Canis lupus familiaris: one gene and its partners. The protein of the gene in region 3 interacts with the protein of the main gene of each other region in a pairwise test. Links are inferred from orthologs where the notes say so. Each region holds a gene or a part of one and is shown on either strand. Other genes may lie near its edges.

The links.
Region 1: the proteins of BANP (region 3) and SH3RF2 interact in binary tests that used the Homo sapiens proteins (3 or more experiments, as listed by UniProt). The two-hybrid records come from large-scale screens. The link is inferred for Canis lupus familiaris from reciprocal best matches to the Homo sapiens genes BANP and SH3RF2.
Region 2: the proteins of BANP (region 3) and ZMIZ2 interact in binary tests that used the Homo sapiens proteins (3 or more experiments, as listed by UniProt). The two-hybrid records come from large-scale screens. The link is inferred for Canis lupus familiaris from reciprocal best matches to the Homo sapiens genes BANP and ZMIZ2.

The regions. Positions count from the first base shown.
Region 1 is NC_049223.1:39,549,822-39,555,755, forward strand, and holds the start of SH3RF2 (E3 ubiquitin-protein ligase SH3RF2), read left to right. Parts: upstream 1-2,474; 5' UTR 2,475-2,628; intron 2,629-3,770; 5' UTR 3,771-3,876; coding exon 3,877-4,254; intron 4,255-5,934. UniProt on the Homo sapiens protein: Has E3 ubiquitin-protein ligase activity. Acts as an anti-apoptotic regulator of the JNK pathway by ubiquitinating and promoting the degradation of SH3RF1, a scaffold protein that is required for pro-apoptotic JNK activation.
Region 2 is NC_049237.1:14,025,967-14,031,947, forward strand, and holds the start of ZMIZ2 (zinc finger MIZ domain-containing protein 2), read right to left. Parts: upstream 3,461-5,981; 5' UTR 3,404-3,460; intron 3,116-3,403; exon of another isoform or gene 3,032-3,115; intron 2,406-3,031; exon of another isoform or gene 2,384-2,405; intron 2,005-2,383; exon of another isoform or gene 1,864-2,004; intron 1-1,863. UniProt on the Homo sapiens protein: Increases ligand-dependent transcriptional activity of AR and other nuclear hormone receptors.
Region 3 is NC_049226.1:65,736,957-65,742,770, reverse strand, and holds the start of BANP (protein BANP), read left to right. Parts: upstream 1-1,947; 5' UTR 1,948-2,071; intron 2,072-2,672; exon of another isoform or gene 2,673-3,095; intron 3,096-5,814. UniProt on the Homo sapiens protein: Controls V(D)J recombination during T-cell development by repressing T-cell receptor (TCR) beta enhancer function. Binds to scaffold/matrix attachment region beta (S/MARbeta), an ATC-rich DNA sequence located upstream of the TCR beta enhancer.

The DNA of each region.
Region 1 (5,934 bases), on a different chromosome or scaffold from region 3:
GTTTATTTTTGAGGACTACTTGTTCATCTGATTTGATGCCAAGGTAGCATTTGGGTAAGCCAGGATGAAATCCTCATTTAAAACTCTCCTCTTTTTTCAAAAGCTTCAAAAGTTTCTACCAAGACTAACCTCATACGTGGGTGGTGGTGGGGACCACCTACAAGGTGTGAATTAAGAGGTGCTAAAAGACCACTCCTGTTCAGTGTAAACTTTCTCTGTCTTTCACTAGCACCTAAGAATCTACCATCACACTTGTATTCTGCTGAATCTTCAGTTGTCAGATAGTGCAGAGCAGCCTACTAGATCTATCTTGCCTTCCTGGAATGCAGCTAGTGTTTGAGTTTTGTCAGGGATAGGAGGGTTCGAAGCTACTTGAGACAACTGGTCACGCAATGGCATGGAAGTGCATGAGACTGGGCATTTTGTATCATTTTGTTTTAGGTTGGCTCTGAGATCAGCTGGTGTGTACATATGGACATATATAAATGTGAATGGATTTACACAATAAAGAGATATGGGTATACTTACGGCACGTCCAGGACTTTATAATGTGGGAAGCAATAATGGAAAGGAACACAGCCCCTGGGATTGGGCCAGCCTGGGTTCAGATCAGAAGCTTTGTAATCCTAAGAAAGTTATGGCACCTACCTTATTGGGTGGTTGGGAAGATTTAATGAAATAATCTGTTTAAACTCTTAGCACTGGTCCATGATATATAGCAAGTACTTCGCAAATGTTACTCTTAAGGTTATGTGTGCTTTTGTCTTTATGCAAGTATGTGTGTCCATGTTCATGTGGTGCAAATTTGGGCATCTAAGGGAGGTAGAATATGTTTAAGAACAAGAGAGGGAAAGAGGAAGGATGTTGTTCACCTCTGCAGCAGGAGTTATAGCACTGGAGCAGACCTTTCTAGAGGGTGAGGGGTTTGCAGAGCAGCTCACAGAGGAGAGGGCTCAGCTTTACCAAGTGGGAAAAAGTAAGGGACAGCAAAGGGCCTCAGATAAGAGACTTCCTGATGAGCATAGAATTTATAAAAGTGGAAATTAATTGAAGGAGAACAGGCAACAGAATTGGATTTGATGTTGTGGAAGCCCAAAAAAACCTTCATAAAGAGAGATGAGAAAAAGAGTTGAAAATGGTTTCTGAAATTGGCATGTACTCAAATCAGGTCTCTGTGCTCAGAGGACAGATGACTTCATCTGCTGCATCCTAATGCTCTCCTCTGTTGTGAGCTCCATGCATCTTTTCTTTTTCAGAAATAACATGGAAAAATTTTGTAAAACATGTAATCCGCCACCACCTGTTATCTGGCGTCTTGGTCCCCTCTTAAGATATTCCCATGGAGCTGTAGCTAAGTGCTTTCTGCATCATAAAGAACTGTCATCCTTAAGTTGAAAGAAGAGATTTAGTTTAAAAAAAAAAAAAAAAGAATACCAGTTTCTAGTCCCAGTTCTGCCCCTAACTTACTGGGCAACTTGAAGGAATCTCTTGATCTCTCTGGGCACAGCTCATCTGCAAGGGAAGTTGATTGGTCAGCTTGGGTCATTATCTTTTGACTTCCTGCCATCCCCAGATGCAGTTTAGCTCCCTCCAACCATCTCCTCCCCTTAAAGCTGTATCACCATAGGACATGGTAGTACGGAGCACGGAACACCTGTCTCTTGCTGGCTGTGACTCCTGGAATGGGTTATTTAACCTCTCTGTGTCTCAGTTTCCTTATTTGCAAATGAGGGTAAAGAAGAGTATAGTGTATTACTGGCTTACTAACAGGATTGAGTTATATAGGTAAAGTAGAACAGTGCTTAGCACAGATAAGGGCTACTCTGGGGTAAGATTATCATGAGTATTTACTTTATGGAATAACTATGTAACTTTACATGAAATGTGTTACAGATAAATCAAGACATCAAAGTATTAGCATTATTTGGAGCTATGGAAAGATTCCAGCAAGCATGGGGCAGGGAGAGAGACTGAAACCATTCCTTCTTCAAAACCCTTCTGTGCTGTGATTTTTCAAAGGTGTACATGTACTACCATGATACGATTTTTTTTTTAATTTAAAGAGATTGAGCAAAAGAGATCACTAAAGGTCCGTCTCAAATGTACAAATTCAAGGACTGACTGCTTTTCAAGGAGAAGTACTTTTTAGGTGGCGGGCTTATCTCTGTTATAGCTACCGTTAATATGTTTGACCTTTTCAGCAAATCCTTATAAAGGTTTAAAATACACACAGTCACCTTGGCATGTTTATAAACCGAGCATGTTTCAACTTCTGGGATAGGAGACAAAATGAGAAAAGTGAAAATATCAACTGCAAATATTTAGCCTTAGGGGCTGGCTTATATTTTGTCCCTTCTAATCTTTTCCCAGAAATCAACTCAGTTACACAAAGGAACGATGGGCAGCAGAGGGTGAACTCCCGAGAAAAGCGCTGCTGCCTGCCAGGCAGTGAAAGCGTTAACAGGGCTGAGTAAGGCGATCCTTGAAATGAGTAAGACTCAGAGTTGTTAAAGTTTTCAAAGCGCGGCAGCGGCTCTTGGGGAAAAGGAAGCGAGTTGGAGGGAGCCTGGCCAAGCCGAGGATGGAGGATCGCGCTGAGCTGAACTCAGCTGGGGTTCTGTGCTCAAGGTTAGTGCCCCCCCACACACACACATCTCCCCAGAACTGACGCCTTGGGAGAGTTGTCTCAGGAAGGCAAGGCGCCCTCTCTCCTCCTGGTGTGTCATGTCTGCTTTGCTTACTGGCGGGCCACCCGCCCTTGGGCTGAACCTCCCAAACCTCTGGGGCTGCTGTGCACAATTTTGGCATTTGTGAGGGACAGGTGACCTCTTCCTGGGAGACCTCTTTCAACTGGACACCTCTTTTCAGACGTCTAAAAGGAAACTTTCTGGAATAAGGATGTTTTCAGACCACACACACACACACACACACACACACACATACTCACACCTGTATACATTGTTCCATCTTGATTTTTTTTGGTTGTGACCACAATCCAGAATTGGGATCTGTTTCAGATGAAACTGAGAACACTTGTCAAAGTAACTAAACAGGCTGTGTGACTTCACCCTGTGGGAGGAATCTTGTCTCTGAGGCTAGAATAATCAGGGGAGAGAAGGGGGGAGAAAAGAAGGAAGAAAGGGATGGAGGGAGGGACGAAAGGAGAGAAGGAGGGGGGGAAAAAGCTTCCAAGCATCCTGGCCTGTGGTTAAGGCAAACAGTTTTTGAAAATGTGTTTCTCATAGAACTTTTTCTCATATGTTGCTAGAACAAACTAATGGGGGAAGATGCATAATGAAGGAGCTAATCCTACATCTGCATGAGATTCAGATAAACTTGTCTATATAAACTTGTCTGTTCTGCAGATAACAGATAAACCTAGGGGAAGAAGGAGGACTAGATGACTTCACAGAAATTGCATTTTGGGGGGGCCCTTGATGTGAGAACTGAAACTGATTGGTGGGGAAAAGAACCCCCTTTGAGCCCTCAGGCCACCTCAACCAGCCAGTTTTGTCTCCTTGCTCTTGCTTCCACACACAGAAGCAATGAGTAAGTAGTCAGTCACCATGGAGAATGCTCCCTGAGATCCTCCAGCAGGCAGGAGTTGAGCCTCATACCTGCTAGCACTGAATCAGAATGAGTCATTTGAAACTTGGGTGCTGGAACAAAGTACTTGCAAACTGCCTTATGAGACACTGCCTCCATGTAGGTGGGATATACCTCTCAGAGCAGTCCCATTTTCTTCATCTCTTCCTTTCTCATTCACACAGGCAGGAATTCTGACACTCCCAAGAGACTGGATCTGCCTCCTTGGCTCAGCTCACCCTACCATGCAGACTTTGCCCCTCCAGATCAGGATTGGAGTTTTAAAATAAAATGGATGATTTGACGTTACTTGATCTTCTGGAGTGCCCCGTGTGCTTTGAAAAGCTCGACGTCACAGCCAAAGTCCTCCCTTGCCAGCACACCTTCTGCAAACCATGTCTCCAGAGGATTTTCAAGGCTCACAAGGAGCTGAGGTGCCCCGAATGCAGGACCCTGGTGTTTTGCAGCATCGAAGCTCTGCCAGCCAACCTGCTGCTCGTGCGTCTTCTAGATGGTGTGCGCTCAGGGCAGAGCTCTGGAAGAGGGGGCTCCTTCCGCAGGCCTGGTGTGCTGACCTCGCAGGACAGCAGGAAAAGCAGGACTGACCCCAGAGGTCTGCAGTCCAGCCCTTTCCGACTGGTGCCTAATATCAGAATCCACATGGATGGGGTAAGAAAGATCTTATTTGTTCGTATTGTGTCCCTTTGGAGGTTGGATTTGTGTATACCAGCAGCTAGGAATTATCTTCCTATAGTTACATTTCAATGAGTGCTGCCAGTGATTCCCCAGAGAGAAGTTTCTATGGGCAGGGATCATTTTACTGAAACTTGGTGGAATCCTGAGCCTATCTTATCCATCCAGAAATTCTTAGAATTGTTGAGGTCTCCCCGTGCTGCTTGTCTAGAAGGTACTAGCACAAAGAAAGCCTTCGTGATTATTTTTCACCTTTCACTTCTGCTATTTGAGGCCAAACCAGTGCACAGGAAATGTGCAGAGGAGGGGGAAAAAGAGAAAACAAATCCAGCTGCTTTTTGCTTTTGAGATCTTTGAGAAGTTAAATGTCAGGTTTTGTTTTAATTTTACCCAACTCCATCTTCCCACCTCCAGTCCTGAAGTGCTATTATGACAGTGCTCATTCATGATCTGTTCGAAGTTATCAAGATACTTGAACACCCAAAGACTGTGCAGGAGGAAAGCATATCTGTGGGTGGACTGATTGATAGGAAGGCTGGGCTGTGAAGTACAACACGTGTGTACAGGAGCCCTGCAGATGTCTAACTCTACAAAATGAATCAAACATACATAAAATGCACCTCGGTGGCTGCCATAACCACAAAGGCCCGGCAGTGGTGCACAGGAGATCATAGGAACTCTTTTGGTGTTTGGATAACGCGAATCATTCTATCCAGCCATGCGATTGGATCCTGAGGACTCTATCTGACCTTGCTGCAAGCCTTTTGTGGGAAGCTGTGTTAAGGACACATCTTGAGAGGAGGGACGCAGTCCTTGTGAGTCCAGCAGGATTATGTGCACTGTCACCCCAGGAGTCAGTGTGTCAGAGCAGACACAGAAAGCTGTGACCTGGGTTACTGGCATACTTAGAAAGTCAAGGCTGCCTTCTGTGAAGTCTTACCTAAAGTGAACAGCTTTTTTTTTTTTTACATTTCATTATTCTTTTTAATTTATTTATTTTTTTAATAAATTTATTTTTTATTGGTGTTCAATTTACCAACATACAGAATAACACCCAGTGCTCATCCCATCAAGTGCCCCCCTCAGTGCCCGTCACCCATTCACCCCCACCCCCCGCCCTCCTCCCCTTCCACCACCCCTAATTTGTTTCCCAGAGTTAGGAGTCTTTATGTTCTGTCTCCCTTTCTGATATTTCCCACACATTTCTTCTCCCTTCCCTTCTAATCCTTTTCACTATTATTTATATTCCCCAAATGAATGAGAACATACACTGTTTGTCCTTCTCCGATTGACTTACTTCACTCAGCATCATACCCTCCAGTTCCACCCACGTTGAAGCAAATGGTGGGTATTTGTCGTTTCTAATGGCTGAGGAATATTCCATTGTATACATAAACCACAGCTTCTTTATCCATTCATCTTTCCATGGACACCGAGGCTCCTTCCACAGTTTGGCTATTGTGGACATTTCTGCTAGAAACATCGGGGTGCAGGTGTCCCGGCATTTCATTGCATCTGAATCTTTGGGGTAAATCCCCAACAGTGCAATTGCTGGGTCATAGGGCAGGTCTATTTTTAACTCTTTGAGGAACCTCCACACAGTTTTCCAGAGTGGCTGCACCCTTTCACATTCCCACCAACAGTGTAAGAGGGTTC
Region 2 (5,981 bases), on a different chromosome or scaffold from region 3:
AGGCCTCTGAGCCCTCTGAGCCCCCTGAGCCCCTCCCACCGCCCCTCCAGGCTCCGCAGCACAGCAAGGCCGCCACGGAGTGCAGTGAGGATAGACGGCTCCAGCCCTGGGGATACTGGGAATGGACTGCCGTGCAGCCGCTCTGGAAAGTCTGGGGCTTCTCGTAAAACTAAGCAGGCGGCTACTGCCCGGCCCCACAAACTCACTCCCGAACACTCATCTCCCAGAAATGTAAACACGCGTTCACCCAGGAATGTGTGTGTGTGTGCTGCCGGCAGCGTCAGTGGGGACGGCCTGCAGGTGAGGGGCGAGCCCTTCAGGGGCCACCCACAGCCTGGGAGCTTGAGGGGAGGCGGCAGGAAGCCCCAAGAGACCACGCTGCGTGGAGAAAGCCAGTCCCCAAAGGTTACACACGGTAGGATTCCCTTTATGTAACATTCCTGAAATGATGGAATCCCAGAATGAAAAGCAGAGCACAACTGCCAGGTGGGGAGGAGGGAACAGGTGTGAACAGAAGGTGGGGAGGGAGTATCTGCATCTTGACTGGAGCCACGCAGCATCCCGGTGTGACGTTATCCTATCGTATTATAAGATGTCACCACTAGAGTAACCAGGTAAAGGACACACAGTTATTTCTTTCAGCTGCACGTGAATCTTTAATTCCCTCAAAATAAAAGTTTAATGAGAAAACCGCCGCCGCTTGGCCTGTTCTCTCCACTGAAATGCCCAGGGCCACCCTTCCCTACAACAAAGCTGGTGGGGTTGGCCAGGCCCACTCTGTGGTTACAGAAGCAAAGGGTGGGTGGAAGACGAGCCCCTGGCCAGGTGGGGGAGCACCACTGAGGACTCCCGCGGCCCCAGCTCCAGCTCCGGCGCATCACACACAACTGTAGGACTGGAACTGAGGACCCGCATCCCTAACGAGCCTGGGTGAGGATGCTGCCGCTACAGGGACCCCAGGTGGAGAGTGGGGGAGGCAGAGGCTACTGGTCTGGGGCCCCAGGACGACTCCTACATCACATGGGTCGGGGGAATTCCACCCCAAAGGCTGCTCTGCTATGGACGAGACCACAGAGATTTCCAGTTCCCCCTGAGCTGACTGCATGCATGGGTGTCTGGGTGTGCAGGGCGTGTGTGTGTGTGTGTGTGTGTGTGTGTGTGTGTGACTTCCTGCCAAACTAAGTCTGGTCTCCTCCTTGGGGAGACCTGCACTCTCCAAGTTGGGTACCCCATGGCCCTCTGCTCCCGACAAAGGGAGAGCCCTGCTCTGAATGCAAGACCCTCCTCTCACTTCCTGGCCTGAGAGGTACAGCTGGAGAAGCCCTGGTGTGTGTGTGCGTGTGTGCCTGAGTGCACGTGCGCACAAGGAGGCCCGAGCAGGCCTGAGGCGGGGGCCCTTCTGCTGGTCCGAGGCTCTGCTGTCCACAGCTCCAGCGGGAAGCCAGGACCCCTCGGCAGAACCGCCCTGGCACGTGGTTAGCCTGGAGCTTTCTCTGGGTTGGGTCACATCTCCCAGAAAGACGGCTACAGAAACTCGCTACTCAGACCCCCTCCCAGGGCCTCGGAGCAGCTGCACCCAGTCTCCTGGGTGCCAACCACAGGCAGACGTTAATGTGGGTCAGCTCTCTTGCACCTCTCCTCCGTCCCTGCCGCCTGGTCAGCCAGGAGCAGCACACCCCATGACAGGCCACCTGACCTCGGAAAGGCACGCCTGCTCTGTGGTCCTGGGGCAGGCACTCCGGCAGCAGGGAGCCTGTGCTTCCAGGGCACGTGTCCAAGCAGAGGGACACCCAAGTCTGATGGGCTTGGAGAAGGTGGAAATGGTGGCTCAGTGAGGCAGGACGACACAAGGGGGGGACTCACATGCTTGGATGGCTGGAAGTCCTGCTGCTCTCCACGTGAGGCCACAACACCGACCAGCCTAAGTGCTGGAGCCCATCTAAAGCACCCAGGAACGAGCACTTACGAAGGGCCTGGGTGCACAATGGGTACGTGGCAGCCACCCTAGGAAAGCGGAGGACACACACCTGCCATTCTGTGCTCAAACCCTGAGTCCTGTAGTGGACGCAGTGCCAGTGGACACTTCGTGAGGAAGTCGGGCTGTCCCTGGAGTCCTCCCCAGGCGCACCCTGCCTGCCTGTCATTACCTTCCTCCTCCCTGACCTCTGTCCCCTGCCTGTAACCAGCCCCTGGGCATGACCAGTCCTCAGGCCCAGTACCTGCTGGGGGAGGCCAGGCCCCCCTCTCACGAAGCCTGGATGGAGGCCCGAGGGCTCTAGCTCCCCAGGAAGCGGTGGCTGAGTCTGCTCACCCTCCCTGCATCCACCACCGTCCCCCAGATCAAGTCACACGTTCCGTGTATGCCCCTGCGAAACCGACTTACAGACGTGGCTGTGGATGGTCTGCAACCATCAGGAACAGAGCTGGGCAGGGACGGGCGCATCCGGGCCGGAGGGGAGCAAGCAGGAGGGAAAGGAGAGCGGGGCAGGGAGAGAGGCAAACGGGGGTCCTGGGAGAGGGCACCCTCCCGCCCCGGCGACGGCGCGGCTGGGACGAGGGGTGTCCCCTTAGAAACAACGGCGGGAGGCTGAAAGGTCAGCCTGCTCCGCCGGCCTCGGGCGGCCCCGCGGCCCCACGCCGCCCAGCTGGTGGGCGCGCACGGCCCAGAGCCAGCCCGGAGGCGAGCCCGAGCGCGGCGTGGCGGCGGCGCGGCCAGGCGGGGCGAGGGCCCCGGGCCATCCTCCCGGCTCGGGAGGTCGCCGGGGCCGCGCACACCCCTCGGGCGCCCGGCCGGCTTCCAGCCCACCCCAACAAAGGCTCAGGTGAGGGCCGCCCGCGCGCCGGCCGGAGGGCCCGAGAGCACGACGCGCACGCGGCAGGTGCGGCAGGTGGGCGGCGGGGCCGCCTCCACCCCGGCCCGAGCCCGGCAGAGGCGCCGCAGCGCGGGCCCCGAGCGCCGCACCTGCCCGCCGCGCGCACCTGCCGCACCTGCCGCCCCCGCCGCCCGCACCTGTCCACCCGGCCCGCTCACCTCCGCCCGGCCTAGCCCGGCCCCTCGCCGCCGAGGCCCCCGGCCCACGCCGCTCCATGCGCTCAGCCCGCCCTCCGCGCCGCCCGCCGCCGCGGGGCCGCCGCCGCCGCCACCCGCGCCATCGCGCCGCCGCCCGCTCCGAGGGCACAATGGAGCCGCCGCGCCGCTCATGCATATGCATGACGCCGCGCGCCGGCCCCGCCCCCAGGCCAGAGCAGTGGATCCCAGAGCCGGCGCTCGCGCGGGGCGGCCGCGGGCCTGCAGGAGCCCGGGCTGCAGGCCGGGCCGGGGGCGGGCCGGGGGCGGGCCGGGGGCGGGCCGGGCAGCGCCAGCGGCGGCGGACCACCACCGGCGCCCCCGCCCCCTCCACACCTGTCCGAAAGCCGTGTCTGCGGAGTCCCCCGCGCGCCCTGCAGCCTGCCACCGGGGCGGGGCCTGATGGAGGGGCGGGGCCTGGCGGAGCGGCGGGGGCGGGCGGCGGCGACGGGGCCTGCCGATGGGCGGGGCCTGTCAGGGAAGGGTGTCGGAGCCCGGCTAGGGGGCGGGGCCTGGCGGAGGGGGCCCGGTCGAGGGCGGGGGCGGCTGGAGGGGCGGGGCCTGAGTGCGGGCGGGGCGGGTCAGACGGAGGCCGGCCGGAGGACTGGGGGCGCGGGGGCGGGGCGCCAATCTGAGAGAGGCCGGGCGGAGGGGAGGAGCCCGGCTGGGGGCGGGGCCGGCCGGAGGGGCGGGGCCTCCCGGGGAGAGATGGGGCTTTCGGGGGAGGGGAGGGGAGGGGCCTGGCAAAAGGCCGGCCTTCCGGGGGGTAGGGCCTGGCTGAGGGCGGGGCCTCCCGGGGCCGGGGCCGGGGCCGGGGCCGGGGGCCGGGGGCCGGGGGCCGGGGGCCGGGGTCCGGGGTCCGGGAGGGGAGCCGGGCTGGCCGCACGTGCTGCTGCGGTCTCTGGGTCGCTGCGCCCCTTTAGCGGACCAAGCGCCGTTTCTTATCCGCTGGCTCCTCCACGTGCTACTATTACCCTTTAAGTCCTTTTTTCTGCCCTGGCTTTAGGGAGACCATGTTCTTCCAGTCACCCCACAATTCATGTTTTTTACTGTGCCAACTACACGTAAGAAAATGTATTTCAGGGCAGCCCGGGTGGCTCAGCGGTTTAGCGCCGCCTTGAGCCCAGGGCGTGATCCTGGAGCCCCGGGATCTAGTCCCACGTCGGGCTCCCTGCATGGAGCCTGCTTCTTCCTCTGCCAGTGTCTCTCTCTGTCTCTCATGAATAAATAAATAAAATCTTAAAAAAAAAAAAAAAAGAAAAGAAAGAACGAAAAGAAAGAAAAGAAAGAAAATATTTATGGTGCCAAGATCTTCCTCCAGGCTACAGTTCATTATGAGCATAGGATAGTATCTTAACTGGGCCCCTCGGTGGCTAAGTGTCTGCCTTTGGCTCAGGTCATGGTCCTGGGGTCCTGGGATCCAGCCCTGGGTCTGGCTCCTGGCTGGGTGGGGAGTCTGCTTCTCTCTCTGCTCCTCCCCCCGCTCACGCTCTCTTTGTCAAATAAATAAATGAAATCTTAAAAGAAAAAAGAAAAAAAAAGGAAAGTACCTTTACAAGAAAGATGCCCATCAGACACCACCTGGCCCAAAGGACCAAGTCAGCATGACCCTGTGTGGGACCCAATAATGTCTGTGCCCCTGGCGAGATGTCCAAGAAAGGACGCAGAGCCCCTCCTCCCCGCCTAAGTGGAAGTGACAACCATAAAGTTTTTACCTGGATCTACTCAAGACAAAGCCACACAGGGGGTAGCCTCCAGAGCTGGCCTGGATTGGAGAACTGCAGAAGCCTGGCTGGGGGAAGGGTCAGAGGAGACCAGGGATCCCAGGCCCCAGCTCGTAAGGCAGGCTGGACGTGGCAGGCTGAGTGCAGGCCACAGGGGGTGGGCTCCCCAGTGTGGCACCCTGGGGACCCGGGGGGGTTGCCCTGGTATTTGGGAGGCATCTGGGGCAGTGTCCAAGGGGGCAGCACCGGGGCGGGGGGGGGGGGCATGGGGGCAGCCAGGGCTCCCGCAGTGACACCAAGCCGGCGAAGCTCGAGGGCACACATCAAGGAGTGTGTAGGGCCTGGCAGCAGCTCAGGAAGTGTCTCTCCAGGGGCAGGAAGGAAATGCCCCCAATCGGGACAAGATCGTGTCATCTGTGAACGTGTATAAACGATCCTATAAACGATCTAAAATCCTTTCAAATACTGCTGACGGCCCACCTTCTCCACAGGTGTGTGATGAGCTGCATCTTCGGCAGCAGGGACCCCAAACAGTCGGGCAGGGGGCGCCATGGGGTTTTGGGGTCCCCAAGGCTGTGCTGAGGGCCACACGGGGAGCCCCTGTCGGACGGGCTCGGGGTGCAGGGTGGCCTAGCTTCTCCTCCAGGATCTACCGGGCCCCGGAGGCGGGGGGATTGGGAAGTCGGGATGCTAGTCCCGGGGCCCACATGATGGTCACTGTGATGAGGACAGTCACTGCGATGGGGCAGCAGCCTAGGGACCGGCCCTCTGCACTCCCTGCTCTACATCAACAATCCTGGATACTTGAGAGCCCTTTGGAGAGAACCTGCCAACCTGCAGGCGCCCAGGCCTTCAGGGCCCCACTCACCCCAGCCCCCAACCAGGCTCCAGCCCAGACCCCACCGCCAAACTTAGGAAATTGTATGTTTTCAGAACAAAATTTATTTATTTATTTATTTATTTATTTATTTATTTATTTATTTATTTATTTATTTTTTAAGGTTTTATTTACTCATTCATGAGAGACACACACAGAGAGAGAGGCAGAGACACAGGCAGAGGGAGAAGCATGCTCTCTGCAGGGAACCCGACATGGGACTGGATCCAGGGTTTCCAGGATCACACCGCGGGCTGCAGGCAGCGCTAAACCGCTGAGCCACCAGGGCTGCCCCAGAACAAAATTTTAATAT
Region 3 (5,814 bases):
GAGATCATGACTTGAGCTGAAATCAAGAGTCAGATGTTCAACCCACTGAGCACCCAGACATTCCTGGACTGGATCCTTGTATGGATTGACGGGCAAGGAAGAGGACCCTCTGCAATAAAGAAGAAACCCTCCATTGGTAGATAACTGTCTTTGTCAGTTTCCAGATATTGAATTATTTTTAAAACCATGGCTAATCAGCTAGATGTCAATACAAAGTAACATTCTCCTCTATTTGAGCTTTCTGGGCAGCAAAATGAAAAATAAATTAATCTGAATAATCAAAAACGTAAAAGAGAAGTCCATGACTCTGGCATAAGTATAATTATAATTTTGATTGGCTTAATTCCTGATGATGACTTAGCACTGGTATAGAACCCAGTAGTGTGCTAGGCCTCGCCAGGAAGGAGCCAGCAACCCATATCCACAACAGAGCTACAGACAAAAGCTTTGTTGAGATTTTGAAATAACATGAAAAAGATCAGTCTACAAAAAACAAAACAAAACAAAAAAACAAAACAAAAACAAAAAGATCAGTCTACATTTATCTACTCTGTACTCAGATATTTGCATGTCCATGTTAAGAATTCTTAGTTAAGTGTTTAGTTTTGGCTACGGTTGAGGCAGAGGTGGGGATAGAAGACATTGCCCTCACTTATCTCTCAGGATTTGCACGTTTAGCTTCTGCCATCCTCTTCCCCACTATGAGCACACTCTAGACCAGAGTGTTTTGGTTTCTAAACCCTGGTTTTGTCTTCTTCCAGCAGTGTGACCTTGCTGAGCAATTTCCCTTCCTCCCAGGACAATTCTCATTTCAATGCGAGCATCTTTTCCAGCACCGATCTTCTGTGATTGTTCTCTGTAATTTCTTCAAGGCACCTTTCCTGTAAAGCTAAGCCAAAGATCAGCCTCGGTAGATCCCCCAAGTGTGCATTCTGGAAGAGACTATTACTAGCAAGGTTGCCCAAGGGCAAGCAGCTCGTTACTGCCTCCAAGAATCAGGTTTTTATCATCGGCAAAAAGGGAAGTAGGCAGGAAAGTTACAGAAACAGTAGAGCATTTTCTTTTCCAAATGAAAATAGCTCCACAGTCTTGTTTTTGGACGACCGAAGAAATTCTTGCCCGTTGTAAACAACTCAGAAAACAAAGGCAAGTGTAAAGAAGAAAACAAAAAGCAGGGTAACCCCAACGCACAAGAAGAGCAACAGTGATACCAGTGAGCAGGAGTAACATTGCCGGATGGTGTGTACAGCCAGTGGTTTTTCCCCACGAGCACCAACAGACCAGCACTTATGCTACACACGTGTAACACAGCCACATGCACACCGCATGTTCGTGTACATACGCACACACAGAGATTACTTCCACACGGGACAGGTCACACCACGAACACACATTTTCCCCCACGCGTGAGCCCTGGGAAGTGTGGTCAGACTCCGGGGACCCGGAGCACCAGCTATTACTCGGGGGCACCCCTTCGGAGTCGCAGCGGCCTCAGGCCCCCCGTCTCCAACTACAAGTCCCAGCAGTGGCGGGCGCGGGCGCCGACGGGAGGCCGGAGTCCGGAGAGACTACAAGTACCAGCAGGCTTGGCGCACACGCCGGGACTACGATTCCCAGGAACCTCAGCTCGCGGCTCGCGCAGAGCCCTCCGGGATATGTAGTCGTCGCGCGCACCTAATTCCTATTCATTCAGCCTCTGAAGAAACGTAAATTCCTCTCGCGGTCCACCGACGCGACTTCTCACGGGGCTAGCGAGGAGACGGAGCGCGCGCCGGGAAAGGAAAGATTCCAGGCCCCAACCGTGGCGCGGCCGGACGACGCGTGCGCATGCTCGGCGGTCGCCGGCGCCGGCGAAGGCGCGCGCGGGAGGCCTGGAGCGGCAGGCCCCGCCCCCTGGCCCGGTCCCCGGGCCCGGCGCGCCCCGCGTGAGGAGCCTGCGCAGACGGGGCGGGGCGGAGGGCCGCGGGGAGGGACTCGCGGCGCCTGCGCAGAGCGGCGGCTTCTCTCGCGAGGACGGACGCCATTATCGCATCTCCCCGACAAACACCACGAGAATTCCGCAGCCCACACGGTAATTGCAGCTCCCGCAGCCGGTCGCGTCTCCACCTCCCCCTTCCCGCGGGGCGAGAGCGAGAGCGAGAGCGAGATCTCCCCTCCTCCCTCCTCCCTGCGCCCTCCTCCGGCCGCCGCGCCCGCGCCCGCCGCCCCCGCCCGGGACGCCCTGCGCGGCCGCCCAACGGCCCGCCGCCTTCGGCCCCGCCGGCGCGCCCCGCTCCCGGCGCCCTCCCCGCCCGCTCTGGCTCCCCCGGCCGCCGCCGCCGCCGCCGCCCCCGCCAGCCGCCCCCGCCCCCCGCGAGGGCCCCGCGCCGCGCCCCGGACGGACCCGGGCACAGGCCTCCCCTGTCAGTCGGCGCCCGGGGCCCGCGGGCAGGCCGCCCTGCGCCCGGTGTGCCCGCCCCGCGGGGCCGAGGGCTCACGGGGAGGGGAGGGGAGGGGAGGGGAGCGCTCAGGCTTGGGGAGTGCGGCCTGGGGTTTGCCTCGAGACCCCCGCCCCGCCCCGCCCCCGGTGGGCGCCCTGCACCGGGCGCTCCTCGAGGACGCGGGGGCTCGGGGGCTGCCGGGGGGCTCGGGGGGCTCGGGGCTGGCCGCCCCTGGCGCCCTCTGCACCGGCTGCACCCCCCGGCCTCGCCAAGGTCGGGGTAGTCCAGGGGTCGCCCCAGGTGAGGGACCCGGGGGACCGCCCGCCCATTACTCCGCTTCCGGACCGCCCTGCATACGAGGATCTAGAGGATCTGGAGGATCTAGCGGCGGGGAGACCGCGGAACAGCCCCCGAGATGAGTCGTCTCTGTTTAGCTTCGTTCTCCCTTGTGTTGCACTAAAGTGAGAACATGTGCTCAGGATGTTGGATTCCGTGGACATCCCGTGGCCTTAGGGTCTGGAAGTGGCTGCCGTGCCCGCGCTCTGTGCTGTGGCTGGGCCTGCGGACCACTCCCAGGGCTTCTCATCGCAGCCATCTAGAGAGGTGACCGGCCACCGGGGTTAGGACACTCGTCCAAGACGCGGGGAGCCAAGGCCTTGAACTCCTCTCTCCGAGGTCCGTGCTCTTAAATAATAATACATCTAGCAGTCATGCACACGGTAAACCCTCAGGGGAAAACTTAGGTTGAAGAGCAACAGCCCCGTCTTACTCCTCAAAGACTTAACATCTTTTTGCTCTTGGGGAAGGTCTCCGTAGCTCTGGAGAGTACCTTGGTATTTTATTAGTCTTACACATTGTTGACATTCTGTTATCATACGATGATTGAGCCCTTCCTATCATATCCCACCTTTTCTATCCCCTTAATTCACTGTGTTCACTTGACTCAGATTGTTTAAGACCGAGCAAATACTGTTTTTCACTTCTACAGCTTTCTGTTTTTTTCTGTTGTTTGTAGTGGCCTTTCTTTTTCTTTGCATTCTCTGTTCCCATTGACTCTTTACGTTGTAAATTATCAAGGGATAAGGTCATCTCTCCAACTCCCCACTCCTCCCTCCCCCCCATCCTCCTCAGCCCTCTGTCCTCTTTTTCTAATCTGGATTGATTACTCAGGCCAGTACAAGTATTCTTCTGATATTTTCCTTTATTATACATCCCAGTTTGTACAGGATTCCATGTTTTAATCTTGGCTTTCTTCATTTCAATATCATTTCTGCCAAATAGTCTTATTCGTTTTGAGTAACTCCTTACAATCCGCTTTGGTGTTAGGACATTTCCAGAGTGCCCTAGGATGTGGAGTCTCACTGTGGATGTTCAGTGCTTCTGGGCGCTTGCCCTTCAGCTCTGGGAAATCCTCTTGTATCTGACAATTTCCCCTGCATTTACTCTTTTATTTTGATGATGGACATCTTGGATTGACCCACTGAATCTTGTGTCTTTATCCTCTTTTGTCATTTTCTTCTCTTTTTTGGGAGAGGGCTTCAAGTTATCTTCCAATCCTGTTTAAAATTTTTTATTTCCACAGTTGAAAATTGATCAAAAACTTATGTGTTCTCCCCGCCCCCCCCCCCCCCCCAGTAGCTACTTGTGAACATATTCTTGATTTTGAGGATACCAACATGGGATTTTTTTCAATTCTTTTGTTCTTTGATTTCTTATTTCCTCTAGTGCCATTGTTGCCTTTTAAAAAATATTGGCTTCATACTTCATGTGGCAAATATTCCTTAAATATTGGTAATTGTTGTTTAAAGCAAGAGGAAATGGGCAGAGAGCTCTGAGTCTGTGGGGCTGGTTTTGAAAATGTGTGGGTCTCCCCTCAAGTCATTGGGAACTTGTTACTGTGTGGGACTTTGAGTGCCAGATTGCAGAGACTTTTTCTGTGGGTCTTACAGCTTAAGACCAGATCCCTTTGATTTGGGATTGGTCTACCTGGTCTAGGGAGGGTGTGAGCAGAAACGGCCTGTGCTCTGCTGAGTGTTCTGGCCTGCCACAGGCTTACCCACTTTGGCTGTACCCACTCCTGTATGCCCCAGATTGTGGTTTCCTTTGCCTCCATTAGATCCTATCAGTCTCCCAGAAATTTGCAAAGTATCTTGTCTGTGTCATATTTTCTTTCTTGTGGGATTGTTATATGCAATTAAAAATTAATTTAATGGGATGAGCAGAGATCACCTTTGTGGCAAGTTGCTCCTTGTGAGCAGGAATTACAGAGCCCGTTCTTGTCTTTCTGCTCTGCTGCCTCTCTTGGTAATGGATGCCATCCGTCAGTGGAACCGATGCCCTGAGCATTGTCCCCGTGGTCATCTCCGCGTTGCAGTGTGGGCGGATGTCGTGTGTTCCTCCTGGAGGTTCTGGCTCTGCAGCCTTGGAGGCATGCCAAGCTCAGCTGGGGAAGGCCAACCATAGACAAGTGTAGCAAAGGTTGTGATTTCAGACTCTTAAGGTTGTCTTATCACACTGGCTTCTTATACCATGTCATTGTACTAAGGTAGCACTTCAGTGTGCCAAGTTTAAGGATCGCCTCTAGTTAAGCAGTGATTACTGTACATGAAGTGTAATCTTGGTGCATTTTAGTCAGCTGTCCTTCGAAAGTTGTGTACAGTGAAATATGTCAGCTATATCTGTCAGGGCCTAGCAAGGCTCACATGAGGTGGTTCATGGGCCAGTGACATTACCATCACTGGGTGTTTGAGAGAAAGGCAAACTCTCAGGCCCCCACCAGACATGGGATCAGAATCTGCAGCTTTGTAAACTTTTAATTTTGAGACTTTTAATTTTAGATTTACAGAAAAGTTGCAAAAATAGTTCACAGAGCTTCCCTGTTCCCGTCACCCGCTTCCCGTAATGCTGACTTCTTACATAACCAGATATCCATATGAAAATCAGGAAATTAACATCGGCACAGTACTGTTAACTAAAGTACAGACTTAACTGAATTTCGTAAGTTTTCCATTAATATCCTTTTTCTGTTTCAGGATCTAATCCAGGATCCCACTCTGCATTTAGTTGTCATGTCTCCTGAAGTCTCCAATCTGTGATCTTTACATAGCCCCAAAGTATCTCTCTAAAGATATTTATAAATTACAAAGGGAAAAATGGTAACTTCACAGTGGAAAAACCTACAAATACCACCTTAACATCACCAGTAATAAGACATATGATATCACGTACCCCAGTGTGATACACTGAGACAAATGCTTACATTGTTCAGTCACGAGAAAACCCAAATTGAGGGTCACTCACCAAAATCTTAACTGGTGCTCCTCAAAAAGTATCCAGGTCTTGAAAAAACAGGGAAAGACTCAATTTGCATGTAAAAAGATTGCTGGGTGTGGTA